Rhinolophus ferrumequinum: one gene and its partners. The main gene of each other region encodes a partner of the protein of the gene in region 4 in a complex. Links are inferred from orthologs where the notes say so. Each region holds a gene or a part of one and is shown on either strand. Other genes may lie near its edges.

Region 1 (7,410 bases), on a different chromosome or scaffold from region 4:
ACTTCGGAAAATACTGTCCTAATGAATTTGGATATTCCTGACATTCAAAATCCTCCATAATCTGACCTCTCTTTTGCCAATTTTTTTCCTGAGTTCTGTTCATTATTTCCTGAATTGCATAATTTTCCAATACTATTCCCTCTACCTAGAAAGTTTTTCCTTCCTATTGTTCTCTGTTGATATCCTATTCATCCTTCAAGACCCGTCTTACATACTAGCTCCTTCAAATATTCACTGAAACTCTTAACCAGCTGAAAATTGGACAGTATTTTGTTACAACTTTTCTTATTTCATTTTTATATCCTCACTGACATTGGTATTATTTATGTGCTTGTCTTATATCCCCCCCAGATAATCATATACCCCTATAATTATAAGGTCTTTAATAATATAGAGATCTTGTCTTACTCATTTTTCTATTTCCTGTAGAACCTAAGACACTACTTAGCAATAAGGACACTCAGTAAGTACTCATTGGATTTAAATGAAATCTTAATACAGATTTGTTCACTCTTAATGACCACATCTAGAGGTAAATCTAAATTCACATGCATTTCTGAGAAAGAATATTATTATAGTATTCCATTGTATTCCTTTTCCCGTTAATCTAATTTGATTCTCTTCTACCAAGCTATGTCTAGCCCTTCAGATTATAGGGAAGTAAACAATCTGAGGCAACATATTAGATTGGTTCATTCAGCTGTTTGACTGGGTGACTCTGTTTGAAGTAGTTTTTACAATGTCTTCTCCTCAAATTTAAAAACCACCTTTTCTTTATAGGAAGATTAAGAATTTTAAAATGTATGTTCTACATATAGGCTTATCTATCTGAAAAGATACTTAATTCCCTGGTAACAATGGTTACCTCCAGAAAAGATAACTGAGCAGAAAATGGACAGGAAAGACTTTTCATTGCATATACTTTTTACCTTTTAAATTTTATTCCAGGCATATACTTTTCCTACTAAAAAAAATGAATTTTTAAAATTAATATTCAATACCTAGTCTTGGTCTTTTGGCTGGTATCTCATCAGTGTCCACTGTAGAAAACACAGTGCTAAAAAAAAGAGAAAAAAAATATATATATATATAAATGCATATATACGCGTATAAGAAGCCTTAACAGTTAACCAGAAAAGCTGTTATATTTAACTGCATTTTTTTCACATGGAAACTATGTTACAGTGGTAATAAAGAATTTAAAAATTCAGAAAGTTATTGGACCTATACTTCTACAATGTTAAAGGGTCATGGTACACTACTAATCACCTTTCTAAAGATGATTACAACTGATGATATTTACCAAAAAAAGTGAACAGAATAAATCCCAGGAGAATACCACTGAGTTCATTATTTTGAACATCCCAACGAGAACTCCTGGCTTCATTTTGACTGGAAAAATGGCTCACACTGAGAAGCATTGTTTTTAGATCAATGATGTGTGGTAAAGAACAGGATTTTTTTTACCTCCAAACTACTGTCTCCCTGACTAGCAGGGATTTGTAGCAAAAAGAGAACAGGGCAGAACAAATTAACATTCCCTTATTCAGTGAATATGTACCAAGTGCCTGTAAATATGTACCAAGTGCCTATCATACACCAACCTTTGCAGGAGGCCCTCAGGGTAGAATAAACAACTACCCTTCTCATATATAGTATTAAGCATCATTCTAGGCACTTTACAACATGTTCTCAAATGATCCTTATATCAACCCTACAGAAAGGTGGAAAGGAAGAACAAGTTGAAACCTTACCCTCTTGGGAACACATAATGGAATTTAGCCAACAGTCAATTTCATCAATGACCTGCATTCTCAGACCCGTGTATTAATTATCTTATTCTCTCAAACTGCAAACACCCACCTTTCCCTGATAGGGAGGTTTAGTAAAATAATGAAATTAACACTTGATCACTAAAAGTTGGGAGGTGTATAGAATTGGTATGATATTTTATTCTCTAGATTAATTCTAGGCAAGGGGGTATTCACTATGAAATGGGACAAGCCAATGGGTACATGCTAAGTAAGAAGAGCTTTTAGTTTGCCCCAAATTTTAACCGAATTTTAGAGTACAGACTAGTGATGTTTTTAAAAGAATTAGGTGCCTATTTTTTTTCTCATACCCTAATTCTAAAGCACAGAACCACTCTCCCTCCCTCTCTCCCAACACACACACACACACACACACACACACACACACACAGTTTGACAGCTGTTTCAGAACAAGACAGCTGCTGTTTCGGTGCTAAGGGAACAGTACTTGCAGTCAAACGGCTTTGGGCAAGATATCAATCTCAACTGCACTCATTGCCCACAGATGACACTTGGGAGGGTGCTTTGTAAACAGTGAGCCAAAACACATTTTTCGGTTGCAATCTAAGAGCGGCAACAAATGATACCCATTCGATGACAGGAAACAGCGTGGACTCGGACAAGAATATCCAAGATCCTAACCATCACCGGCCGCTCCGAAGGCAACTAGCTCTTTCCATCAGGAAGAGCCGCATCCACACAGGGTGGAGGAAGCGACTACGTCACCAGGCAACCCGCGACCCGCACGCCTGCCGCCTCGGCCCAGTGACGCGTTTCGGCCGAGCGGGGCCTGCCCGGCTGGCTCAGCGCCATCGCGGCCGAGCCCGGGGTGGGGGAGGGGGGCACACAGGCCCGCACTCAGCCCCCTCTCCTCTCACCTGTTCGAGCGCCGCCTCTTCAGGGGGGCCCGGGCAGGGGGCACCGGCCGGTCACAGAAGCGGAAAATGGTGCCGAGGATCCTAACCAGCCATTTGTACATACCAGGCCCAAGCAGCAGCGGCGGCCGACACACCCCGAGACACAAACCCCAGAGCTGTCGCCGCCGCTGCCGCCTTCGCCGCCTCAGCCACCACAGCTAAGGTTCAGTCGCCGACTTGTGACGCGATCCGAAGGCCCACAGATACAACGTCCCCAGGGCTACCGGAGGCTCCCGCGAGCAACCGTTCTTGACGTCACCTCCTCCTACCCGACCGGAAAGCACCTTCCTCCTCAACCTGCGCACGCGCAACTTAACACGCCCCCCACTTCCGAACCTAGCAACCAGAATGCCGGCAGGACGGTAGTGGTCCAATCCTGGACGAGAGCGAAAGGGCTGTGGGCGGGGTTTTCTTTTCGGCGGACCCAATCCTGAGCCGGCCCGCGGGACAAGGCCCACAGGCTACACGTGAAGCTTCTCCTCCTGGGAGGGAGCGCCCCGGGACTGAAATACAGTAAATGTTTAAGTACACAAAATAAAAGTAAGTTAGGTTAATTAACAAATGTTTACTATACGAGGAGCCCTTTATTTTGCTTCTGCCTTGCACTTGACATTCATTGTCACCTTCGTTTCTCCCAACCGCAAGCAATGGAGAGAGTCTTGTCCCATTTTTAATAAATAAGGAAATCGAGGCATAGAGCGATTACGTTATTTGATTAATGTCACTAAGCTAGCTAGTGCCATAGCTGGAATTTGAACCGGGATCTGAGAACCAGCGCCAATCCCTCCCTTAAGATCTACTGACAGAGACAAATTACGAGATAACTGGCTGCTGTGATAAAGGTGTGTACAAAGTGCAGTAGGAGCCCGAGAAAAGAAACCCACACGCTGAGGGAAGGGAAGGGCAGAACTCCAGGATGGCTTTACAGAAGCTTAAGAATGAAAAGGTACCTGTGGCTCACTACTACCTACTAGTCTCCCTGTGGGCTGGCAGGGAGTGTTGCCAGCCCAGGGGGAGACTAGTAGGTACAAGTAAGCCACAGATACCTTCATCACATTTCTGGTATCTAGAAGTCACATTTCTGGTTAATTATCAACAACAGAAAAAGTCCTACCCTACTTACTGATAGAAAATCCCGTCCCACTCCCAAACAATTCTGGGAATATTCAAAGATTTTCATGCCCCACAAATCCGTCCTTGACTGCACTTGATCCTTACTTATGATTAAATTAAGGCCAGACTTCCAGATTTGCTTAAACTTCAACATAGGCACTCTCCAGTACAGCAATGTTCCAGAATTCTGCTGCAAGCCATCCCCTAGAGCTCCAAAACCACCAGCTACCCACCTATGGCTACCACCACTCTGGCTTCGGGCGTGGGTGTGGGGGCAGGCAGTTCCTAGAGGGTGGAAACAAATCCTAAATGTGGACATAGCCCCTCTCTTAATTCCCCAAAGCACAGCCAACACCAGGATGTTACTGGAAGTTTGGGAATACTGTAATAGGGGAATTGCAAAGCCTCAAATAAGATTTAGAAGTGGCTATTTTAAGTATAGCATCTATAGCCCATTGCTTCCCAAAAGGACTCTTCCCTGGCTCCCCCACCCCAGGTCATCGCTACACTCTTCTCAACAAAAGAATCCCCCTCCACCTCTAACCCAACCCATTTCAGGTGATTCTGTTAATCTAAGACTAACATTGATATTACTATGCAGAGCAATTCTGCTGTGTCCCAACTGTCCACTCCATTATGAGAGCTGGTCCTTGCTTTTGCCAAACCAAGAACATCACTCAAGTATTGGGAAAAGAGTCCCCAAAACACAAAAGCAGTCTCCATTCAAAAAATAAATCATAAAACTATAAGCTGCTGTAGAATATCAACTCCCAGGTTCTGACCACCGAGATTTAAGAAATATTAGCATCAAGTCTCAAAGTACTCTAGTACGACACCACATGTTTCATTTTTTCTTTTCCTACCTCAGCTATAGCACCTGCACATACCCAATACTGACATGTCAATCACCCACCATTAAAAGTGGGAGGGCTTTGGAATTACAGACCTCAGTCTAAATACCTGGGCCTCATCAGCAAATAGTAACTCATGAGTGTGTCAGCCGCCACCCCCACCCCCTGAATACTTGCACTCGTTTTGTGTCGTTCTACTGTCTCCAGTTGACCTCTGAAATGGAGAAAAGAAGGGGACTCAGCCTTACGGTCGCTCCTGCCTGGGACCTGTCTGCCCATTGATGCCTTCGCTGCCCTGTCATCCACAGTAGAGGCATCAGGCACTGCCCATCCATTGGTCAAAAAGTGGGATTATCCTTAACCCCACCACTGCCACAGCCATTCCCGGACCCAGAAACCCCACCGGGGGCCAGAGTTGAATCCCAAAGCCAAATGAAGTAACAAGGACATTGATATTTCTGCCCCTGGTTTGGATAACTTGCATCCTTGTACCACCACAGGGCCACAAGCTCATCGCTTAAGTTTTCAGTAGGTATCTTAAATGGTTGCCCCAGTTTTCTGAAAAGACGTCTGTCTGTTTCTAGGTTAGATCCTCTCTTTCAAGCCTTTCCAAGGCCCAGCCCCTCTTCCTCTAACTGGTACCTCCCCTCCACAGAACAATGAAGACCCAGTTCTCCAATCCATTCTTTAGTCTTACAAGTTTTCACTTTACCATTTTCCTCAGAGTGTTAAAAGATTTCCTTTCAACTTTGTTTTGGCTGACCCCTGAATAGAGTTCCGAGCCATTTGATGGAAGTGGGAAGGAGGCCACAAGTGAGATGTTCTTGGTTTCATCTTAACATACCTAAAATCTAACATCATTCACCACCCTGAAGATTCGTTTTCTTCTGGAGACCAACTTCTTTGCTACTCAAGAAAAATGTGTCCTCCTAATAACATAATTTTGATCTTATTCAATCTAATAATAACCTTGGCCTTATTATCCAAAAGCAAGTGCAGTTTTTCTTGTCCTAGATTTTATTATAAAATATGCTCACATTGACTACAAGTGGCTTGGCCTGCCTCGTGAGGAGAAATAATAGCACCAGACCCTACCTAAACTAGTTTCCTAATCTGTAAAATAGAGTTAATCAAACCTGCCTCTCAGATTTATGGGCTGATGAAATGTGTTTACATATGTGAAGGCCCAGCATAGCTAAATTCTTCATGTTTCCTTCCCCCTCCTTACTTCTCATATCTAATAAATCATTTAACTTGCCGGTTCTGCATCCTACATTTCCCACAGACCTGCTCCCTTCCTTCCCTTCTCCAAAGCCAAAGGAATGCTATCATTCAGGGCCTGGTTATTTCCCACACCATTGCAATAGTTACCTCCTTTTCTACCCAGTCCCTCTTCTGTGCTATTTTCAGAGTGATCTCTCTTTTTTCATCCTTTTTGTTGTTGTTGTTGTTTTGTTGCCTTTTGTTGTTGTTAAGGAAGGCAAATTTATATTGTTGTTCTTATTCAGTAAGAAAAGTAAATTTATAAATTAAATTTCTGGTTTCTGTTACTGAATCACTAAAATTGACTGGGGTGATTTCCACCAAATTCTAGAAGGTTTGGGGAGTGGTCTGACTTAAATATGGGGCGACCCTAAAATTTACTTTGGATAGCCCTAGGGAGTACTATGAAAAGAGAGAGGCAGTTATCTTGGTGACCAGCCAACACAGAGGTGCAACCAGAAGAGAAGGATGCCACCAGATGAGAAAGACCCTGCTGATTTAGACAGCAGGAACCCCTTGTAGGGGTTGAAAAAATAATACTTCCCTCCCACTTTCTAAATTTTTCTAGCTGGGCTAATAATCAAATAACCAGAGACAGATTAACAGAAGAAAATTAAATTTTTAATACACGTACATGGGGAATTCACAGAAACATTCAAATTCCAAAGACAGTGAGGTGAGATTAGGTATATATGTCATTTTGGACAAAGGATAAAAAGAGTGAGTAGCGTCTGAGATTTCAAAAGTGCGAATGCATGAGTCACAGGTAGTTGAGGAAGAGTGGAACATACAAGGCAGGTAAATGTTTGCTAGGCAATCCAGAAACAATGAGATGGGATAATCTAGTAAACAGCCCCTGTTTTACACCTTCCCATCCACCACACTCAATTTAAATTAGGCTGCTAAGGGGAACATCCTATGACTTCCTTACTGGAGTGGGTCTTTCCCTCTGAATCTCTTAGGCAGGAGAAGATGGAGGGTCAAAGTTTCTTTCTGAGTCATTTCTTTTTTTTTTATTTTCTGAGTCATTTCTTAATAAGCAGATTAAAACTCAATATCCCAAAAGGGAAAACTTTTGGTCCCCTTCACCCTCAAGTGGTTCACGATGTTTCCAAATGGGAGCCCAAGGCAGAAGTCACAACAATAGACCTTCCAAATTATAGGGGTGGATTTGTCCATAGATTTGCTCCTCGCACAGACAACTCTGTGTGCATGCTCCAGGAAAGGGTTGTCTGACGAAGGTGCAGAATTCTCCTGACCAAGGCTTAGGAAACCAACTAAGTAAAAGTAAAAACAAATTCCATTCTAATAACAACATTTTGAAACACTAACTTAAGATCCAAATAAATCTAAAATACGCCTTACCGATGGACATTAAATATTGGACATTGCCCTGAAATTTTTATTGATTTTATTTTTAGAACTTTTAGTAAGTAAAAGCACTTTGCTTCTCTC
Region 2 (7,236 bases), on a different chromosome or scaffold from region 4:
CCATCAATGCCAAAGCTCTCAGTGAGACCCAGCCACTCTGAGGCCAACCCAATCATCCTCACCTTCAGGGCAAACCAGCCGGAAATGGGGAAGGTGATCAGCAGCAGCAAGAACCCCAGGAAACTGATGAAACCGTGGCAGATGCAGGAAGGCCAGGTCTGAGGAGCATCTAGGGAAAGAGAACAGGCAGGCAAGGGGTGCCAACTGCAGGCAGAGTGAACGTAGTCAAATGTACCTTTCGACCTCCTCCCACTTCAGCAGCTCCTTCTTTCTCAGGGCTCTCGATCTGCCTCCTTGCCTAATATTCCCATATCTTTGTGCAAGTCCCACCCTCACAAGGCTATTCTCTTCTGGGCAACAGCCACTGGATCTGAGAAGCCAAACCACGTAATGCTCTCCTCACTGGGCAGACAGAACGTAAGTCAGTCTTGTTGTCTGATTTATACTGCCTTCCCATACATGGCACAAAGCCAGGCGCATCTGGGCATCTGTAAACACCAGCTGAGTTGAACTGACTGCTGTTGCATAACTCATCCCTCTTCTACCATCAGTCCCAGAAGTGTGCTTTCAAGGAGTCCTTTTGCAGATAATGCCTTAGCCCAAAGGGATAAAGCATTAATGACTCACCAATAGGAGCCATAGGTGAGGGCTAAGATGTTCTTTCTTAGCTCACATTCTTCAGTCCATTTTAATGCCCTAAGGACCATCAAATGAATGCTTCACTTAAAGAGCTTCAGGTGGGAGATGGGGGAGGGGCAAACTAGAAAGAGGAGGCTCATTTGAGCCCAGGGTGTTGGCCCCTGAAGAGGAGCCCAGGATGAGTGAAGCTGAGGCAGCCTCAGAATCTGGGATGAGGTTATCTGCTCTGCTTTCCTCCCTGCCCTGGACGGGAAGCAGACTGGAGCCTCTGCTCCATCTTCCCAGGAACCGCACACCCTCAGGGCTCTCCGAACCCCAGGATACTGTCTCCTTTCCTGCCTGGCCCTGATCCACGTGTCCCCTGCAGGAAAGGAACCCTTGGATGGGGCAGCTGTCATTACAGGAGGGCCCGGGAGGGACCAAATCCTCCACGGCTTGGTGTGAGGCTGAGGAATGTGGGATCTGGAATGTGGAACTCAGGCTTTGAAGCAAGACAGGGCCAGAGCAGACCCACAGACCACTAGGGGCCTTTTTGGCTAGTGCATCTCCACCAGGAAACAGGGAGATGTTCAAGCTCAGGGTGTCTAGTCTAGAGGTGTCCTGGGGGTGAAGATTCTGCCATTTCTCTGCAGCCAAGTGCCCTTCGTGTGCGGATGACCTTCTATGGCTAGACCTTGGTTTCTTTCTAGTCAAAACGGCAACTTGAAACCTATGCCCAGGTTTCCTCCTCTTCAGAAAGGGAGGGTTGTCTGCATTCCTGGGGTCCCTCAGGAGTCCTCGCCTCCTCCTGCATGTTTCCGCTGAGCCTTAGAAAAGGTGCATGAGGGGAAATTGGCGTTGCAGGGGTTTTTTCAGGAGCTGAATCCTCTCCAGAATCAAGGAAATGACATCAGCACTCCCTCTCCAAACTCACGAACTGGGGTAGGTGTGTACGCGGGTGCTGGTAGGGCAGGCGTGCTTATCTAGAATTACGGTTTCTCCAGGGCGCGGTCAGCAAATTATTCTCCTTTGTGTGCCCACAGCCCAGCAAGCAGAGCTGATAAGAGCGGAGGAGGAACGAGGTGGCACGAGCCTTCCTAGACGATAAGAGCTCCGCAGCTGCAGCCCCACAGCCCCAGACAGGGCCGCGCAACGCCAGCATCCAGCGCCCAGTGCCGGCCCGTCTCGCTCCCTCCTCTTAGAGTGCGAGCGCTAGAGCAGCCGACTCCTGACAGGCAGCGAGTTCGCGCTGGGGATGCCGGCGGTCCCCCCGGGGTCCGCAGTGCTGGGCGGCCACTCACCAGCTTCCGTCTGCACGCCGCCGGGCTCCGGGAACAAGCAGCCCTTCTGCGAGCCCAGGAAGCCTAAGCTCGACTGCTGGAAGCGGTCGAAGTCCCCCAACGGCAGCGGCCGGTACCCAGACCTGGCGAGCATGACTCCTGACGGGACACACCCCCACTCAAAGAGCGCGGCCCGACCTGCCAGCCCCTGCGCCGCCCCCCTGCGGCCCCCGCTTCCGGGTTTCCGTGCCCCGCCGGCGCGCAGCAAGAGGAGGCTGGCCCGCTAGGCTCCGGTCGTCGCACAGCGCCACCTGCTCTAGGAGGACCGAACTGCGGCGGCGGGGCGGGACGGTGAGCTGCGTTCCTGGGAGCCCGCAGGAGTCCTCGCCTTCTCCTGCATGTTCCGCCTGGGCCTTAGAAAAGGAGCATGAGAGGAACTTGGCTTTGTAAGGGGTTTTTCAGGAGCCGAATCCTCTCCAGGATCAAGGAAATGGTACCAGTCTTCTCAGCACTCCCTCTCCAAACTCACATACTGGGTTGGGTGTGTGTATGTGTGTGTTGGGAGGGGAGGGGTACTTATCCAGAATTACAGTATCTCCAGGGCATGGTCAGCAAATTATTGCACTTTGTGTGCCCACTGCCCAGCAAACAGGTACTGGCACAGAGTGGATCTCAGTACTTGTTGACCAGGTTACTGTGGTCAAGGTGGGGCGGGAGGGCCTGAACTTGGGCACAAAAAGAGAGACATTTCATGTGCAGACCTCAGGGAGCACGGTGGAGTAAGGAGTGGAGGGTTAGCACAGAGCTACCACGTGGCAGGCCCTCCAGAGCATCTCAGACGTGGGATCCTCAGTCCTGCAGGTCTCGAAATAGCACATCCCTTGTTCCAGGTACCCAGAGGTAATGTGACTCTCCACGCCTGAGCAAACCCAAATGCAAATTGCGGATTTAATCTGAGAAGCATTAACTTCCAATAGGGCATTGAGGCAGGCTGTCTTTCAAAAGAGTGAAGAAATTAATAAAGCTTTCCTTGTCTCGGGCACATGCCAGTCTGCCTACTCATGCCTCTCAGTCCCCCAGCCATAGCCCAGTTCCAGGTCCCTTCTGCAGATGGCTGCTCACCATCTTTGGCTTTTCCTAGTTTGATGGCCTGATTCGAAAGCCCTAGGAGTACTGATCAGGTTGGAGGTTAGGGCCGGCTCCTGGGGCCTCACACAGTCCCGGGGAACTTGGGTTTCCCCCCATTTCTCCTCCACACACCTTCATAAACTTTTACAAGAGCAGTGCCCTATCACCATCCCTTCAAGCCTGTTCCAAGCTGTAACTGAGCACAGAATGGGTACCCAAGAGCCAGCACAGCGGTTGGGATGATTTGAAGTTTGAAGTCAGGGGCACTGGCCCAGTGAGGCCGCCTGGAGCTGTGCAGTCTCCCCTCACCAGGTGGGGGTCTGGCATGCATCTCTGCTGGCCAATAGCTAACTTGCTCTCTCCTCACTCTTCATACCCATTCACCAGCTCTCCCCCTCCCCCTATTCCCCACTGCCTCAGATACACCAGCCTTTCCAACTGTCACGCAAGGCATCACCCTGTCCTCCTCATCTCCACTCGTGTCCTTCCAGTGTCTCTGACTCAGATCCCTCCTTGCATCGCACAGCCACTGTCCTAGACCAGGCCACCTGCCCCTAGGTTGTCTGAGTGACCTTTACAACATGCACAACAAACACATCACGCTGTACCTGGATTCCAACCTGACTCTATCGCCTATAAAACTGGTCCATCTACTTAGCTTTGATTTTGCGCCAGCCCACTCCTGGGCCGATATAGCTCTTGGGTCCCCTCTTAAATCAGAAAAAAACCCAAACTACTTTCTAAACAGGCTCTCCTGTTGCAAACCTCCATGCCTTTGCATATGCTGTTCGCTCTGTTTAAAGTGTCTCCCCAATCTCTGAATCCCTGGTGAATTCCCACCGTTTCAAGTCCCAGCTGAGGAATCTCCTTTCCAGCCAGTCTCAATACAGTGTGAAAAATCTCCGTTTGAGGGCCTGCCCTTTCACTAGATCTGGGGTTCCTCCAAAGCAGGAGTCACGTGTGGCTCATCTCTGTGTCCCCCGACTTCCAGCGGAGGGCTGGCACAAAGCTGTACCACTGTGAACTGATGGAAGGTTCAAAGCGGAGGGCAAGGGATGCCTCCCCCAGGTTGGCTGGGCCATCGTCCGGATCATACCCCCAGGTCAGTTGTGCGTCTCCTCTCCGCCTTCCTCCTCACCGCCCTGGGCGTGTCTTCGAAACCCCCAGTCGGCTTCTCCGCCCCTTGAACCGCCCCCAGCTCGTGTGTCACTTCCTCCCGGGAGGCTGGCGGTGAGTCGGCACCACCACTTTCGGACAGCTCCGGAGACTCAGCCATTTGGCGCACGAGTCTCGTTCAGCCTCTTTTCCCGCCCCTTGAGATCAAATCCGAGAATCGAAACTGCGCTGAGATCTATGCCCCAGGAGCTGGCACCCGCCCGATCATCCGGGCCCCAGCAGGACCCCGCACTGCCCCACACGTCCACCATGCCTCCCCCGGAGCCCCTGTCCGCAGGCCAGCAGCGCAGCCCCGGCCACAGCCCCACAGAGGTACTGCTGGGTTTGGGGAGATGGGGTTTCGGCTCTGTTGATTTGCAATGGTGGGAGAGATGAGAAGGCAGAGGGAACTTGGCCACGTACACAGAGGGAAAACCAGATGCCAGGGTCCTGACCCACTTGGCTCGATTAGGGGTAGGGGAGAGTAGAAAAGGGAACGAGGGGATGAGTTAAGGGAGCCACTCTGGGCTGCGATTCTCCACCGAGCAGTGCCACCTGGGACCGGACACTTCCGCCTGCGCGCCGCCGACTTGCCTCTTTGCCCTTGCTGTGACCAAGGCCGGCAGGTTAGGAGAATGGAGGTAGTAGCCCTAAAGTCCCCGCCTGGAGCCAGGGTCATGTTCCACGTGTGGGGGTTAAAAAACAACAACAACAAAAAAAACACCCAATCCCAGCTCAGAATGGGAAACCGTGGCCCGGACAAGAGAGCTGTATCAGCTAAGGCCTCCCAGCTCCTGTGGTTTCTCCCCTAGGAAGCCTTCCAGATCCTTCTCTGGGAACACTCTACTCGCCTAACCCCTATCACCAAGAGGGGTTTATTAGGCTTTCCTCCTGTAAGCTTTTGCCTTAATCTTCTTCCGGACAAACCCCAGCCTTACATACCCGAAGGAACTACTTAGACACAAGCTCGATGTTCTTCCAGACCCGTTTGAAAGCACAGATTGCAGTAATTCGTATTATTTGCATAATTACAACTAGGGATAGTATTGCTTAACATTACTAGTTAACATTTATGAGCACTTTTCAGGTGCCAGGTACTGTAGTAAGCACTTTTTTGCATTTTTTAAATTGTGGTAAAATAAACACAACATAAGATCTGCCATTTTAACCATTTCTAAGTGTATGATTCAGTGGTATTAAGTACATTAACCATGTGTAACCGTCTCCACTGTATATTTCTGGGGTTTTTTTCAAATAGAAACTCCGTACCCCTTAACACCTTCCTCTCCCGTTTCTCCAGCCCCTGGTAATCTCTAATCTACTTTCGGTCTCTGAATTTGCCTACTCTAGATAATTTCTTATAAGTGGATTCATATAATATTTGTCCTTTTGTTATTTAGCATAATGACCTGAAGGTTCATCCATGTCGTAGCAATGTCAGAATGTCCTTCCATTTTAAGTCTGAATAATATTCCATTGCATGTATATGCCACATTTGCTTATCCATTCATCTGTTGATGGACGTTTGGGTTGTTTCCACCTTCTGGCTGTTGTGAATAATGCTGCTATTTATGTGGGTGTACAAGGATCTGTTTGGGTCAGTGTTTTCAGTTCTTTTGGGTGTATATCTAGGAGTGGAATTGTTGGCTCATATGGTTGATCTCTGTTTAACTTTGAAGAACCACCTAACTGTTAAGCACTTTATGTGAGGTTGATACTTAATGTATCTTCTTTCTAAACTGAATTCCATGAAGACAAATATATCTTTGTATCTCAGGGCCTAGTACTTTGTCTGATGGAAAGTAGATACTTAATAGATTGCGGAATGAGAGTGAGAAGGCCTAAGTAAATGGGAAACTGGGGTGCTGATAAACCTGGGTTTTGCATCATCCTATGACTGCCTGGACTGGAATGTGAAATCCCATTCCAGCCTCCAGCCTTTGGGGCAGGTATTGGGTGGTTGAGGATTCCTGGGACCTCAGGCCTCATCCTCCTCCCCTCTGGTCCCCCCTCAGCAAGCCACGGAGGAGGACTTCCAGTTCCTGCGCTGCCAGGGCTGCCAGGCAGAAGCCAAGTGCCCTAAGCTGCTGCCTTGTCTGCACACGCTGTGCTCAGGATGCCTGGAAGTGCCCAGCATGCAGTGCCCTATCTGTAAGGCGCCCCAACTCGCAGGCACTCTCGGGCCGGCCCTGGATAACGTCTTCTTCGAGAGTCTGCAGCGGCGCCTGTCGGTATACCGGCAGATCGCTAATGCACAGGCCGTTTGCACCCGCTGCAGAGAGTCAGCCGACTTCTGGTGCTTCGAGTGCGAGCAGCTCCTCTGCGCCAAGTGCTTCGAGGCGCACCAGTGGTTCCTCAAGCACGAGGCCCGGCCCCTGGCAGAGCTCCGCAGCCAGTCGGTGTGCGAGTTCCTAGACAGCACGCGCAAGTCCAACAACATCTTCTGCTCCAACCCCACCCACCGCACCCCTGAGCTGACGAGGTGAGTCAGTGGGCGGGCTGCGGTGGGGGGGCCGCATCCAAGAGCCGGGGAGAGGGTGCGGGGAGCAGAGATCCAGGGTCATAAAGCTGAGAACGTGGGATAAGGAGCTTGCAGGGTCTCGCAACAAGCAACATCTCTGACGATGTGCACAATTTATGCTCTCCGACCTGAGTGGATAGTAAGAGTTTATGATTTTCCACTCTAATAAATAATGCTGCCGAACCATCTTTGCACCTTATTCGGTAATTCCTTTAGGATCAATTTTTAGAAATGCCATTGCTAGGTTAAGGGGTATGAAAATTTTACATTGTTACATGTTACCAAACTGCCCTTCCGAAAATCTTAATAGTGGAATTCTCCGTAAGTGCTGCTGTGGGATCTCCCTCCGTATAGCTCCGTTTGATTCTAGTGGGATAAAATGCAAGTAGTTAGTTTCTGCTGAAAAGTCACAGTTGTAATACCGTGCTATCTGGGAATGTAGGTATGGCGGTTATTATTTTTATTAAACAGCACAAGATTTTAATTCCTTTTTTGATAAAGACTACAATTAAGTGTTTAAAAAAAATTAGGAAC
Region 3 (6,987 bases), on a different chromosome or scaffold from region 4:
GCAGTGAGATTTTCCTTGTCATACCTGCTTCCTCCTCTTCCTCCTCCTCCTCTTCATCCCCCTGACCTTCCTGCGTCTGTTCCAAGTCCTCCTCCTCTTCAGAATCTGTGACCTCTTCCTCCTCCTCCTCCTCCTCCTCCTCCTCCTCCTCCTCTTCCTCCTCCTCCTCTTCTTCATCACTTTCCTCATCTTCGTCCTCGGTCTCAACCTTGAAGGTGGTAGGGCACTCCTGGGATGCCATTCCACTAGGGCCCTGGGGGACAAAGGACTTTCTCTAATGAATCCCTTGCCCCAGAGGGTCTGGTTCTGTGTTCCTTCCGCACACTCCCCCATGGGTCACCGTGGAGTCCCTGCTGGCCAGTGCAGGGGAAGGACAAGGTGTCTCTGAAGGGTAGATCCCTTCCATACCTCACCAGAATCCAAGGAGCCTTTGGGGGGGTCCACAGAATGGGAAGAGGTGGCTTGGGGGAGCCGGGCTCTTCTCTTCTGTCTCTCGCCCTCCTCACTCTTGTCTTGCATCATCGCATATTTGGAGATGACTTCATCCAGCCGGCTCATAGCTAAGCTCCGGTTTTCCCGCAGGCGCCGGGCTAGGGCAGGATCTGACAGTGCGGGGTCAACGCCTATGTGGAAAGATATGAAGTCAAACCCTAGAAGAAGGGACTAGAGAGATGCCCCCTCTACCACACACCTGATATACACAAGGGTTATTGATGGGCATCACTAATCCCTACCTGGTGTATAGTCATCTGTGAGGTGACAGCCAAAGTTGTAGATGAGATCAAGGTGGCGTCGCTCCTGTAACCTGACGCCCACGTCTCGGAAAGCATCCTGAGCCATGAGCTGGAGCTGCTGTCGGGGGAGGCCAAGGCTGTGGCGGGCAGCTGCCTTCTCTACAGCCCGCAACACATCTCCATAGTCAGGGAAGGCATCAGGCCCCGGCTTGTTGATGAGCCGTTCGATGCGCCTGTTAACCTCTGGGTAGCGAGTCCCACGGTAGGGAATGCGCTGCTCTATGACCCGGCCTGTCAGTGAAGAGCAGTCTTTCAGTTCACACAGCCGCCCAAAGAGTCGGATTAGCTTCCGTTTCAACCTTGCCTCCTGCAAGTATGTGGAGTCTGGGTCATCCAATTCTTTGAGATCCAGCTCTTTTTCCTGCAGCCTCTGAATCTCTGCCACATAGATTGCTAGCAGTTGCTCCAAACGCTGGATCTGCCGCCGGGAACCACGGGTCCTTGGGGCCTCAGAGCCAGTGGCCTCGGCATTTGTGGCATCCGTGGAGGTGTCTGTGGGAGGGTTACTCCCAGAGGGCTCGCCAGAGGTGGTGGCAGCAGGGGCCAGGTTCAGCTTTTTCTTGGCTGAGTGAGCCTTGAGAACAGTGCAGAGCTCGTTAATGTGGACATAGAGCTTAGCTGGCCTGCTCTGGGCCCGAGACAGGACCCGAGAGAGGATGTTGTAAAACTCCGCTGAGGCCAAAAACAGAGAGTGGGCACGCTGCTGCCGTTTACAAAGGAACGGGACCACGTCAGGGTGGTCTGCTGTCTGCGCCTTACACAGTTCAAGGAACTGGAGGGTTCAGGGGAAGAAGGGAGGGGGAAAGAGACAAGGGAGGGGGTTGAGAGAAAGAAGGCATGGCGGGATTAGTGGGGGAAAAAAGGACAGGAGAGCCAGTGAGCCACCCCCTCCCTGGGGTACAAGAATCTTCTCCCCTAAAGCTCACCTCTTCAAACAGCTTCTCATTCTCCAACTTGTAGCATTTCTTGCCGCCCGAACTACTGCTTCCTCCAGCCCCATGGGGCTGGGAGGAGCCAGGGGCTTCTGCCTGGGGTGAGGCCGGATTGGGGGGTGGGTGAGAGGGCCCTGGCTGAGCAGCTTCATCTTCGTCATCATCATCCAGCACAATGATGCTGTTAGCGGTAGCCATGGGGGATCAAATCCCCCGGAGGGAGGAAGTGTTGGGGATTTCGTATTTCCTGCTGGAAGGGGACGGGGGCCTTAGAAAGAGCCCCTCCAGCATAGCCCCATCCCTTCAGCTCACACATTTTTCAGTGTTCTTGGGTTTCAGTAACACCCAGCCCTGCCCAACAGTGTCCTCACTGCCTGTCTTCAGCAACCATTAGCACCATGTTTTCTGGGGCCCCAAACCACCTGCGACCTCAAGTCCCCACCCCAGCTCCACTCCCCATATCCACGACATCTGGTCTTTCAGTTTCCATTCTCCACTATTTGTCTTAGTTGGCAAACTGCCTTTTCCTCCCAGCCTCCGGGCCACCACCTCCCACACTGCACTCCAGATTTCACCTCGCACAGGTGCTACACCCGTCAGCGCCACCATTGGCTCTCAAACACGTCAAACCCACACCCTCACCCCATCCTGAAGGATCTCCCCAACTTCTAGACTCTGAGGCGAAGAAGGTTCCCTCTCAACCATACATTCACCCCTTGTAATGTATCTCAGATTCCACCCGCCGAAGGGTCTCAAACCGGGGAGTCAGGTTGGAGGTATTTCACCTCAAGACCCTTCCCTCTCACCCCACCCTAATTTTCCTCATACTCTCGGTGACCTGTAACCGCTCGTGAGCCCCGCACTGGGCTCGCCCGATTCCTCTCGGATCCCAAGCCTAAGTCCGGCCTCTTCCCCTAGATGAGCTTCCCGCCAAGTCCCCCTCCCCCAGTTCAGGCCCCACCCGCCCCACTCCCCTTCAGGGATAGGAAAGAAAGCTTGCCCCTCAGACTCAGCGCCCGGGACTCCCCAACACCTCTCCCTCGACATCCCCACCCCCACCTTCGACCCCCGCACAGTCCGGGCCCCACCTCAGAAACAAACGGCCTCTCCAAACGACTCTCACCGCAGATATCAGAAGCTCGCATGGTTACCTCCGCCTTCCTTCCCCCTCCCACCGCAGGCCCGATGCTGGACCGGAAGCCGCAGAGTTTCCGCCTCCAGTAACCTAAGCGCCATATTCTCGTACGGAACCCAGTCCCCCCCCCACCTCCCCCTGTGGCCGGAAGTGACAATAGGTCCGATCCCCGAACGTTTCTGGAGCTTCCTACATTGTATGCGGCTCCCTTCCGCCCGACCTGTAGGAGGCGAGCTTATCCCCGCGGCGCTTCCCTAAGTACCTGGGGGCCGTCATTTTGCCGTACGGCGTTGACTCAGCCCCGACTCCAGAGCTCCGCCAGTGGATGTCTTTCCACCCAGCGCTTCTGCGACTCCGCGAATCAGAAACTTCCTGCCTCCCGCCCAACCGCCGGCTAGGCGCGTGCCGGGAGGACTGAGCCACCTTTCCAAGTAGGGAAGGGGGGAACGGAAAACGGCCGCTGAGGAATTGGGCCCTCCAAGGCTACGCACTGGTGCACGAAAGGGCGGAAACCTCTCACGAGGGAAATAAAACCTTTTCCTTTCGATGGGCTATTGACCAGCCTTCCCGCGTTGCTTTCCTACCTGCCAGGTACCCGTCTCCACGGCTTACTCCACGGCGCTTGCCCCTTCCCGTCTTTGGGCTGCGCACTCCCTTGCCGCTGTCCAGCAGCTTCTTACATCCTGGCGTCTCCAAGTGTTTTGAATCCAGGTGTTCGTGACATCAAAACACTTGCACACAAATAATTACAACGCCCCACACAATGTGTTATTGTTATTATTACGATTGTTGTTTTGCTTTTCAAGCTTCACCACAGACTAATTACCAACCAAGCAGGTGGCACCTACGTGATTCTCCGTACTTTTCTGAAGGGGGTCCCTGAGGCTCAGGTAGTCATGACCCAGAAGACGTGCTTTGTCCGGGAGCTTCGGGGCCTAAGGAGTGGCGATATGGGGAGGCGGAAGGGAGTTAAGAAGAATCTCTGCGAATTGCCACTGTAAGGGCTGTAAGATGAAATGAGGCTCGGAAAATACCGCGGGTCTCGTCTCCTCTTCTTTCTCTGGGAGAGCTGAGGAAAGAACGAACAGAGAAGACACAGACTTTGACGCCCGCCTCACCCGCATCCCACCTCGCCCACTTTTAGGGAGGCTGGAGGGACTCATGGAGGCAAGGCTGGGTCCAAAGGTGAGCTTCTGGGGGAAACCGGAGAGGCTAAGACTGTTCCAATGGCTGAGTTGCTCCCCTCTACATCCTTGAGCATTCCACAAGTGGTGAGCATCTTATCACTTTCTAGGATCTCCGCGGTCCCTACACGTCCAAGCCTCAGAGTCCCAGAACCTCAAACGCTCCCTTCCATTAATCTCACATCTCTTCTTTCCAGTCGTCTAAACCTACAGTCTTCAAACTGGGGAAAATGAAAACTCCCCAAAGAGCACTTGGACTTGGGAGATGTTAGAGATTTAATTTCCAGATCCTCAGCTTTCCCAAAATTTCTCCTGAATAAATACCTACAATAGAGGTTCTTTTTCTTTTTCTTTCTTTTCTTTTCTTTTTCATTTTAAGATTTTATTGGGGAACAGGACTTTATTGGGGAACAGTGTGTACTTTCAGGATTTTTTCCAAGTCAAGTTGTTGTCCTTTCAGTCTTAGTTGTGGAGGGCGCAGTTCAGCTCCAGGTCCAGTTGCTATTGTTAGTTGCAGGGGGCGCAGCCCATCATCCCTTGCAGGAGTCCAACTGGCAACTTTGTGGTTGAGAGTCCACTGGCCCATGTGGGAATTGAACTGGCAGCCTGGGCTTTAGGAACACAGAGCTCCAACCGCCTGACCCACCAGGCCGGCCCTAGAGGTTCTTTTTCTTCCTTTACCCTTTTACAGTAGACTTTCTCCCTCTTAAAAAAAAAAAAAAAGTATAGTTTTCAACCCTGAAATCTGGAGACAGTCTTACCTAGTGTCAAATAAAGAGCTATGTAGCCAACTTCTTTCATTAAGGCACCATAAACACCACCTCGTCTATCTCATTAAAAACATTTAAAAATTTTTTAACAATTATAAAAATGTGTACAATCTTCATGCCATTTGATCGGTTCTGCTCTCATAATAATTGTAATGATAACCCTGAAGAAATTTTTTTAAAAACTAGAGTTTTGGGCAGGCCCAGCCCGGTGGCTCGGGTGGTTGGAGCACTGGTCCTTCTAGTGCTCAGGTCAACAGTTCAGGTGGCCGGTGGATTCCCACATGGGCCAATGAGCTGCGCCCTCTACAGCTAAGATTGTGAAAAACAGCTCTCCCTGGAGCTGGGCAGCTGTGAGCACCCAGAGGTTGACGTAAGCTGCCATGAGCAGCGGTGGGCTACCGTGTGCTGCCAGGCGCTGGCCAGCAGTGTTGCCAGGAGTGGCTGGCAGCCAGCCGGCGAGGTCTGCCATGAGCTGCTGTGAGCAGCCAACTGAGGACTGGCGATCCACTGCCTCAGCCGGGGGAGCGCAAGGTTCATAATAGCAGCATGGGCCAGGGAGCTCTGTCCTACACAACTACACTGAGAAACAGCGGCTTGAACTGGAATGGGGCTGGGAAAGTGGAGGAAGAGGGGGAAAAACGAGTTTTGATCATAAGAAAGAAAAATATTTTTCATCTCAGACTTTTAAGTATAAAAGCATAAAATTGTCTCTGGGGAAGGGGAATGGTAATGGGAGTTCAAGGAGAAAAGAGAAAAGGAATGATTCCCAATTGTTAAGAGCTTATTTATGTATTTTTAAATGGATGATAGTAGGTATCAAATCACTCTGATATTTCAGTTCTTCTGGACATTCAAAAGAGTGATTAAATGTTTTATTTTAAAATGTAAATATTTTCAATATGCCAGGAATTACATCCTTGAAACAATTTTTAATTATGATGAAAATTTTTAGATGCTTACTGAGAAATATAAACCTGAGGAGTATAAACCTGTTCAAAATTATTTCCTAGAGTATAGGTGACGAAATTTTAAGACAGCTGCTCTAACCTCTCTAGGTGTCCCCTCCACAGCCCCCAACAGTCCCATTTCCCCCACCTCCCCTCTCACCTCTGTGGCAGAGTAAGAGGATGTTTATAGGAAAGGTGGTCACAATTCGAGTTCCTCCTCTTTCTGAGGTGACCTCAAGAGCCAGTGCCCAAACTTTGCCCATGGTAGTGGCCACAGCAGCTTATAAAGAGCCTCCAGCAGTAGTAGTGTCAGAAAGAAGGCCAGGAAGATAAAGAAGGCCTTGTCTAAGGCCCGACGTAGGGGACCCCTGGAAGGAGGAGGACCCTGGGCAAAAGCCAGGAACACATCGTCCTCATCCATGTCACCCTCCTCCTCTGCCATTGTAACCTACAGTCTGACAGCTGGCTGGATCAGGGAGGCTAGGCTGGAAGCCCTTGCTCAGCAATGCCAGGATTAAGGGGCGTGGTGGGGCAAGTCCTTCACCTGCCTGGTTTGACCCTAATTCCCCCACCCGAGAGAGAAAGGAGAGTAGAGCTTCTGAGCTTTTGGAACAATCATGTAATTATCCAATGCAATGTGAATGGACTGGACAAAATAATTCCTAAAGTCTGTCCAGCATTATAATTTTGTTTTGGAAACTGAAGGCCCAACATACAGACATGAAGCTGGAGCTGCCCAAGTCATTCTGGGTCTCTAGGCTCAAGGCTCAAGGGCTTGGGCCACCACAGATAGAGCATGAACAAGTGGACCTAGTATGCTACTGTGAGCTGCTGTCAGTCAAAGATCTAAAGGCCATTCCAGCTTTACAGTGGGTAATTGGGGTGGGGGCGGGACTCTCTTAACCAAGGCTGGTGGGGGACAAGCAGCTGCAAGAACCCAAGGAAGGGGAGGTTTATTAAAAAAAAGAGAGAGAGAGAGAGAGAGAGAAACACCATGATTGGTCAGTGGGGCAAGGGTTTATGATTGAGATTTAACTGTTGGGGCAATAATAATGAAGAGTGAGATTTTTCTGTGGGAGGTCCTGGTCTGAGAGTTGCTGAGAAATGTCCTCCAAGAGATTGTCTTAGAGCAAGGGGTGAAAGCTTTTTCTTGACCCTGTTCCCCAGGCACTGGCCTGAAGGTATGTGAGGGAAATCAAAGCCCTTATGGAGATCTGGGGTCCCA
Region 4 (8,002 bases):
CTGGCCTTAGTGATTTGCCTAAGAAGGCAGAAGTGACTTTCAAGGCTAGGTCCTAGAAGGCTTGAGGTTTCCACCTGGGGTTCTCTGGGAACAACTCACGTCACTCTCTCTGTGGGCCCTGAGCTGCCATAAGTCTGAATATCCTGGGGTCTCCTTAACTTTTTGAGGGATCATGTATCCCTGATGAAAGTTATGGGCCCTTTCTCCCGTAAAAAAAGAAAGGAAAAAACATATGCACAAATACTCACAAAACACTCCATAACAATTTCAGTGAATTTTCAGCCCTTTAGGTCCACGAAACTTGGGTTTAAAATGTTTGAGATGATTATTTTTTAATGGTCCACAAATCCACTGGACAATGCTGGATTGTTAGAATTGCAAAAAAGTGTTTCACTCAAATTCCAAATATAATATTCTTTAATCAATGGAGAACCCAGCAATTTAAGTCTTCTATGAATTTAATGCCCCCCTATTTTAACCTGAAATTATTACTCAATTTCAGTATCTTAGCACCAGACAATAACCTCCTGAAAGGTGCCTCAGAAAAGACATTCTAACAAAACTTTGTTTAAATAAAGATTGTCTTTTGGGGGCACTGGTTCAGACTCATGCTGCTGATATTGCACAGTGGTAACTTGGGATTCTTACTCCCGTTCATAAGCCTCTTAAAGGTAAGAGTTCAACTTTATACCTCTTTAAATTCTTAGCACCCAACATGAAATTGTACTGGGTCCCAATTGTTAATGATGCTGGTCTATCAGACTAGAACAATTCTCAAACTTTTTGGTCTCAGGACTTCTTTATGCTCTTAGAAATTATTTAGACCCCCCTCCCCATAAAATTTTTGTCAGGTTGGTTATATCTATTGAGGTTTATAGTATTAGACATTGAAACTGAGAAATGTTTTAAAGATTAATTCATTTAAAAATAACAAACCCTTCATATATCAGCAAATAACAGTTTTATTAAAAAGTTTTCAGAACAAAACTAATGAGAAGAGTGGCACTGTTCCTCATTTTTGCAAATCTCTTTAATGTCTGGCTTAATAGAAAGCAGTTGGCTTTTCACATCTCCTTCTACATTTCAATCTGTTGTGATATCACAGGTCACGTTAGTCTTTAGAAAACTCCACTGAACACTCATGAAAGAACCAGAATGAAAAAGACCAACAATGTCCTAGTATTATCATGAAAATAATTTTGAGGCCCCCTAAAAAAGAATCTAAAGAACCTCTGGCCTAAAACCACCTGTTAGTGTCTTAGGTCCTTTATTTCTTCCTTCATGTCTTTCTAAATGACCAGAATTCAAACTGGAGCAATAAACTCTACAATTTACTTTATAATTCTTTCTGTACATTACTCTTTCATCACACTATAGTAAATTTCAACATGCTTCCTAGTCACTTCTGAGCATCAAAATAAAAGGCTGATGAAAACTAAGCATTTACACCTGTTCATTTACTCCCTGGTAACCAAGTAAACAACTATCTAGGTAGATACTTATAACGGCCATTCCCATACCAACTTGGGAATTAACCTAGACCGTTAGTAATAAGATCCCCAAAACTAATCTAGATTATGGTTAAACTTTAAAATTTTTTATGTACATTTTGCACACTAGTACAAATCCACAAAAGCCGAACTCGCTCTCACCAAGCTGTAGAAAGAAAACTGACCCGGGTTAAATGCCAAGAGAATATAAGTGTGTTAAATTTTTAAGTTCAAGTACATTAGGGAGTTGACTGAAAGTTTTCTAGATAACTATCACTAAACAAGCAAAGGTCTAAAAATACTTTGAAAAGTCAAAGTCGTCTGAGCAAACAAAAGACCAGACAAAAACCTTATTAATTAAAAACTAGCCGTAAAACGTGGTTAACTAGGAAAATATGAAAAACTTACCACGGAAAATCGAACGCTCCTGATTTAAGTACAAATCCCAAGTAAATCATTGATATTAACATTAAGACGGAGCACTTTGCCGTAACAGGCAGCTTTCTGCAAATGTCCTGCAACGGCTCTACGAGTATATACACGAGTATATACAGTATTCCTATCCTTTTCCTCAAAAGTATCAGTCATCTCCAGGTTAATGCCCAGGGGAAATGTTTTCTGTTGCTCGAGCGGTTTTGTTCTACTTTGTTTCTTGGTTATTCTGAGTGCTCCCTTACAAATGGAGAGTTGCTGAACCAATCCCGAGTAAGAAATGGAAAAGTACAAGAAAAGAGGCGACAGCTCTGCACCCCCACACGGAAAAAGACTCAGAAAAGAGCCGCGGCGGCCCGGCCCCCGCCGCAATCCGAACGGAAAGCAGTGCTTTCTAGGTTCCCAGCAACACCAGACAATGTCTCCCTCCCCTCCCCGCCCCAACGTCCCTACTCCAGGGCTACCCAAAACCCGAGAACCAAAAAGTGGAGTCCAGGCGCTTTTCAGGGCCACGAAGCCTCCCGGGCAGACTCTCTCCCGTTACATAACTGGGGCCTAGAGCCCTGCTTCGGCAACCAGTCCTCTGGGAGGGAGGCAGACAGGTTCCCCGGGGACCCACCCTCCCCGGGAGGTGGAAGCTGGGCTCTGCAAGGGGGACGACCTGCGGGAGGCCGCGACCAGAGACGCTGTGGCAGAGGGTGATGAGCGAGCCCGGAGAGGGGCAGGACGGCTCCCGGAGGCCCGCGGCAGGCCCCGCCGTCTCCGGCCCTAGTCCACTCCCCTCTCTCGCCCGCCGAGTCCCCACCGGCCGCCCCCTCCCCCATTCTGCGCTCCCCTCCCCCGCGCCTCCATCCCTGGCTCCAGCCCAGCGGCAGGCGGACCTGCCGAGGAAGGCCCCAGTCACCGCCATCGGACGGCCGCCGGCCCGGTACCTGGTCAGACATAGTGACGGTGGCTTCCCCCGGGGTCTCCGCACAGCAGCGGCCTCGGGCACGCAGAACCTCGCTCCGGGGTTTACAAATCCGTCTCTCTTCCCCACAGCACAACACCGCGGCTGGAGGGACTTCCGCTACTGCTTGCGTCACTTCCGCTACGCGCTGGGAGCAGGGATAGGGAAAAGAGGCGAGGCGGGAAAACGGGTGGGGGCTACACCGACACGGGGGGCTCGGTGCTAGATCAGCTGCTTGACTGGTGGTCGCGCGAGCGAATTAACAACCTTCTCGTCTGCTCCATCGAAGACCAGGCACCTCAATCCCGAGACCAGAGGAAAAGTTCCCCGTCCCCAGTATCAATGTTTGGGACAGTACTGACAGCCCAGACTCCTCCCTCTCCGACACCTTGCGCGTTTCTGAAGGCTGAACCAAGAAACTTCTATTGTCTCCTGGCCTTGCTCGTCAACCTCCCGAAAGAAATTGGATTGAATACCAGTGCTTCTTACCCTCGAGCTAACATTTTTGATTTAGCGCTCTCTCTCTCTCTCTCTCTCTCTCTCTCTCTCTCTCTCTCTCTCTCTCTCTCTCTCTCTCACACACACACACACACACACACACACACACACACACACACACACACCACGCGGTCACATGACCTTGATTGGGGGGCCGGAGGCAAAACAAAACAAAACAAGGATCCCATTGGACACGATCTTGATGGCTACTGATGGCTACTTGATGGCTGCTGAAAGTTCTAAACTGTTGGGGAGCAGTAGCTAATTCTGACTCTTGAATTCGTTGCTTTGAGTTAAGGAATGATCCCCCTATGATTTCTTCTTTAAAATACAATGGCCCTACTGACAAATGCATAGAGAATAAGGATGTAGACAAATGAAATAGAATAGTTTCAGAAGTAAATCAGTAAGCCCTCACACATCAATAATTTTCGACAAGAATACCAAGAATTAAATGGTGAAAGAAGTCTTTCAACATATGTTGTTGGGACAACTGAATATCCACGTGCAAAATAATGAATTTGGATCACTACCTTAGAACATATGAAAAATTAACTTAGAATGGATCAAGGCCTAAATGTAAGAGCTAAAACTCTTAGGAGAAAACAGGCATAAATCTTCTTGACCTTGGATTAGGGGGTGGCTTCTTGTATATGATACCAAAAGCACAACCAACCAAACGAAAATAAATTGGACTTCATTGAAGTAAAAAACTTTTGTCTTTTGTGTTCAAGAGACAACCTAAAAAAAGGGAGAAGATATTTGCAAATATATCTATAAGGGTTAATACTCAAACTATATAAAGAACTAAGAACTATTACAATTCAATAATAAAACGACAAATAATCCAACTTAAAAATAGACCCAAAAAATCTAAATAGACATTTCTTCAAAGGAGATACAAATGGGCAAATGGAGATGCTCAATATCATCAGCAATCAAGGAAATGCAAATTAAAGCCACAATGAAATAACGCTTCACACACACTAGGATATCTATAATTTAAAGGACAGATGATAATAAGAAGTGTTGACAAAGATATAGAAAAATTATAACCCTCATACACTACTTAGTGGGACTATAAAATGCTTTGAAAAACATTCTGGCAGTTCCTCAAACTGTTAAATATAAAGTTACCATGATCCAGCAATTCTATTCCTATATATATATATACACCCAACAGAATTGATGACACATGTCCACACAAAAACATGTACTCAAATATTCACAGAAACATTATTCATAATAGCAAAAAATGTAGAAATAACCCAAATAAATGTCCATCAACTGATTAATGGAAAACAAAAGTAATGTACCCATACAATGGAATACCATTAGGCCATAAAAAGGAATGAAGTACTCATACAATATGGATGAAACTAGAAGATATTATGCTAAGTGAAAGTAGCCAGTCATAAAGTATGATTCCATTAATATGACATGTCCAGAATAGGCAAAGCTATAGAGACAGAAAATAGATTAGTAGACTACTGCTCCAGACTTCAACTAGGGCTGGAAAATTAGGGGGAAATGGGAAGTGATACAGGTTTTCTTTTGGAAGTGATGAAAATGCTGTAAATGCTCAAATACATTGTGATGATGGTTGCACAGCTCTGGGAAACTGGTAAAAAACTGAAAATTGTACATTTTAAATAGGAAACTCTATGATATGTTAATTATATCTCAAGAAAATTGTTATATAAAAAAACAAAAATAAGATACAATGGCCCTAAGACAGCAGCTAATAATAAGTAAAGTATTATTAAGGGAACAGGTAGGACATTTACATCCAACCAGGATGACTGTGAAAATCTTCCAAAGAAATAAAATAAAACCTAAATTGAAATCCAAAGGGTAAGTTTACATCAGCTACAGCAGCAATTCCTAAACAGTTTGGTCCCAGAACTGCTTTAAACTTTTAAAAATTACGGAAGACCTCGAAGAACTTTTGTTCATGTCATTTCCACCAATATTTAACATATTAGAAATTAAAACCGAGAAAAAAATTTTAAATATGTATTAATTTGTTGAAAAACAATAAGCCCTTGATGGGCACAAATAACATATTTGTATGAAAAATGACCATGTTTTCTAAATTTAAAAAAAAAAACTAGTGAGAGAGTGGCAGTGTTTTTCATTTTTACAAATGTCTTTAATTATTTTAAGCCCTGGCTTGATAGAAGACAGCAAGATAGTTTATAGCTACTTCTTCATTCAATTGTTGCCATATTTGTTGCAATTTGTTTATGTAAAGGAAATTCAGTCTCATACAGATATGTAATTGGAGGAGGGGGAAGGATGGGTATAATAGCTTGTTCAGATAGTTGAATATTTTCTTTGATACCACACCTAAACTCGACAAGTGGTAGTTTCTTAATTGAAATGTGGAACTTGAAACCATGTCAATGACCTTTCTGAGTTCTTTTACATTAAAAAAATCAGTGGTCTACCTTACACTTTGGGTAGATATTATACTCATATGTAATTTTGTAACATAATGGATTTGTCATTTAGAAAACATTGCTTCGCTGAGTTATACAGATCTCCTAAATGTCGACACATTTCATTATACAATATCTAAAAATCATATTCATTATTTTCACAGACTCATCAGAAAAAGTCTTTAAATCTTGGGAAACTGCCAAACTCACAGTGATGAATACAAATTCTCCAAAATACTAATTTTTGCATAAAAGCTCAAATTTTGTCATTGACAACAAATACTGTCAGTTATTTTCTTTAAGTGTTAAGCTCATTTATTCATTTTTAAGAAATCGTCTGCAGTATTTCCAAATCTGAATAACAACTATTAACCTGTCATTTATTCTGTCACATAAAAATGATGTTAGATTTTTTAAGTGGCTAAATCAGCTTATAATTCTCACTTGTGTACTTTTCCTCCCCTTCCTCTCCCTCATCTTTCCCTTCTCTTCTCTCCTCCCTTTCTTCTCTACCTCTCCCTTCTCCCCCTCCTCAGCTTCTGTTGTCACATCTTCTCTGATTCTGACCCTGTCTCCCTCTTATAAGAAGTCTTGTAATTACATTGAACTTCCCAAATAATCCGGGATAACCACACCATCTCAAGATCCTTAATCACATACAAGTATGCAAAGTTCCTTTTGCCACGTAAGGTAACATATTCACAAGTTTTGGCGATTAGGAAGTAGACATCTTTGGGAGGCCATTATTCAGCCTACCATAATTAATTTTTCACTGTTTTATCCAGGACATTCATAGGTGACACTAGTTTTTTTCTCCAAGCGCATCACAGTGAGGAACAAAATGGATACTAGCACAGTATCACTGTCTTGACTCCTGCTAAGATGCCAGCAGTTTTACAAACCACTGATTTACACTATCGATGGTAATGTTCACACAGTGAAAAAAGTAAATGTCTTAATATTATTATGAAAATAGTTTTGATTTTGAAGAGCCCCTGAAAAGGTCTCAGGTCCTCCAGTAGTCCACAGACCATATTTTGAGCTAGAGGAAGGGAGGAAAGAGATTTCCTGGCCTAGAGAAGTGGTAAGAGAGAACGAAGCAAGCACGACAAGTTCTGTACAGTAGGAGCATGGTTTGTGAGGTAGGAGGTAGAAAAAAAAAATACCGGGAAGGAAAGTAACAACCCATTCACTGAAAATCTAGTAAACTATATTAAGAAATTTGGACTTAATCATGAAAGGCATAATGTTGGAAGTAGAGGGGTGTAGGAGGCACTAAGTGTTTTTAAGCAGGGGAAGTGATAATATCAGCTTGTGGTGTACAAAAGAGAGGGAAATAAGTTAGGAAGCTGTAGTAGTAGTCCAGAAAAAAAAGACAGTAATAGGGAATTAGATCAATGGAAGTAGAGATGGAAATAGAGATGATACAATTAGCAGGTTTTGGTGGTTGATTAGAATCTGATTTGAGTCACTTGACATGGTGATATTATTTTAAGATTTAATAGAAAAATTTGGAGATGAGGACCATAGATTTGCAAAGAAAACAAAAAGATTAGTTTTAGACATGAATGTGCAATGCCCAGAATCATCCAAGGAAAGATGTCCAAGAAGCAGTTGATATAATTTGGAGCACTAAGAGAAATCTGGGCTGAAGATACGAGATTTGGAAGTCTTTAGCCTATAATTGTTGTTGATGATGATAATTGTTAAGATTTATTGAGTGGCAGACCCTCTTCCAAGTGCTATACCTTTCTTATTTCACTTAATCCTATATAGTGAGTACTAATAACTATCTTCATCTTATAGATGAGAAAACAGAGACAAGAGAGATTGAACTTACTCAAATGAGTGATGGAATCAGGATTTGAATCCAGGAGATCTTGACTCCCCTTCCTTCATTGATTTGACACAGGTAGAGAGAGCAAGAGCAATGCTACTTGTAGTATATCCATCAAAATCACCTGTGGGGATTTCAAATTAAGCAAACTTCTAAGAGTCAGATGAATGCCTTCAGTAGTTTATTCCTTTCTTCCTCACCTCTCACCTTCAGGATCACAGCCATATTAAACCACAGTTATTACCAAAGCGTCTGACATTCCTCAGGTGTGTTATGGCAATAAAAGGGTGGCTTGAATTCAAGGTTTCAGAAGTGGAGAAATTCTTGGTAATAAGAAGAACTAGGGTGTGGCTTT

Evidence for each region.
Region 1: the proteins of SUMO1 (region 4) and SENP2 are in contact, whole or in part, in a crystal structure (PDB 1TGZ), measured with the Homo sapiens proteins. The link is inferred for Rhinolophus ferrumequinum from reciprocal best matches to the Homo sapiens genes SUMO1 and SENP2. Residues at the interface, in NP_001005781.1 of Homo sapiens: Asn60, Arg63, Leu65, Glu67, Gly68, Gln69, Arg70, Ala72, His75, Glu89, Tyr91, Gln92, Glu93, Gln94, Thr95, Gly96, Gly97; in NP_067640.2 of Homo sapiens: Asp386, Lys394, Leu395, Arg396, Trp410, Leu411, Asn412, Asp413, Glu414, Thr440, Phe441, Pro444, Lys445, Arg456, Trp457, His474, Val477, His478, Trp479, Met497, Gln542, Gly545, Ser546, Asp547, Cys548, Gly549.
Region 2: the proteins of SUMO1 (region 4) and PML are in contact, whole or in part, in a crystal structure (PDB 8DJI), measured with the Homo sapiens proteins. The link is inferred for Rhinolophus ferrumequinum from reciprocal best matches to the Homo sapiens genes SUMO1 and PML. Residues at the interface, in NP_001005781.1 of Homo sapiens: Gly19, Glu20, Tyr21, Ile22, Lys23, Ser32, Glu33, Ile34, His35, Phe36, Lys37, Val38, Lys39, Thr42, Lys46, Leu47, Ser50, Arg54, Glu84; in NP_150241.2 of Homo sapiens: Glu554, Arg555, Val556, Val557, Val558, Ile559, Ser560, Ser570, Ser571, Ser572, Arg573.
Region 3: the proteins of SUMO1 (region 4) and DAXX are in contact, whole or in part, in an NMR structure (PDB 2KQS), measured with the Homo sapiens proteins. The link is inferred for Rhinolophus ferrumequinum from reciprocal best matches to the Homo sapiens genes SUMO1 and DAXX. Residues at the interface, in NP_001005781.1 of Homo sapiens: Lys17, Glu18, Tyr21, Ser32, Ile34, Phe36, Lys37, Val38, Lys39, Thr41, Thr42, His43, Lys46, Leu47, Ser50, Tyr51, Arg54, Gln55; in NP_001135441.1 of Homo sapiens: Glu731, Glu732, Ile733, Ile734, Val735, Leu736, Asp738, Ser739, Asp740.

What each region holds. Positions count from the first base shown.
Region 1 is NC_046285.1:59,833,724-59,841,133, forward strand, and holds the start of SENP2 (sentrin-specific protease 2), read right to left. Parts: upstream 3,004-7,410; 5' UTR 2,791-3,003; coding exon 2,690-2,790; intron 1,058-2,689; coding exon 1,002-1,057; intron 1-1,001. UniProt on the Homo sapiens protein: Protease that catalyzes two essential functions in the SUMO pathway.
Region 2 is NC_046289.1:98,761,246-98,768,481, forward strand, and holds the start of PML (protein PML), read left to right. Parts: upstream 1-4,233; 5' UTR 4,234-4,379; coding exon 4,380-4,514; intron 4,515-6,196; coding exon 6,197-6,663; intron 6,664-7,236. Other genes in the region: STOML1 (stomatin-like protein 1), read right to left, coding at 63-169, 1,920-2,052.
Region 3 is NC_046286.1:3,663,026-3,670,012, forward strand, and holds the start of DAXX (death domain-associated protein 6), read right to left. Parts: upstream 3,001-6,987; 5' UTR 2,872-3,000; coding exon 2,824-2,871; exon of another isoform or gene 2,815-2,823; intron 2,198-2,814; coding exon 2,193-2,197; intron 1,977-2,192; exon of another isoform or gene 1,925-1,976; coding exon of another isoform or gene 1,908-1,924; coding exon 1,721-1,907; intron 1,567-1,720; coding exon 735-1,566; intron 624-734; coding exon 409-623; intron 254-408; coding exon 25-253; intron 1-24. Other genes in the region: SMIM40 (small integral membrane protein 40), read right to left, coding at 5,962-6,204. UniProt on the Homo sapiens protein: Transcription corepressor known to repress transcriptional potential of several sumoylated transcription factors. Down-regulates basal and activated transcription.
Region 4 is NC_046291.1:29,338,304-29,346,305, reverse strand, and holds the start of SUMO1 (small ubiquitin-related modifier 1), read right to left. Parts: upstream 3,012-8,002; 5' UTR 2,867-3,011; coding exon 2,855-2,866; intron 1-2,854. UniProt on the Homo sapiens protein: Ubiquitin-like protein that can be covalently attached to proteins as a monomer or a lysine-linked polymer.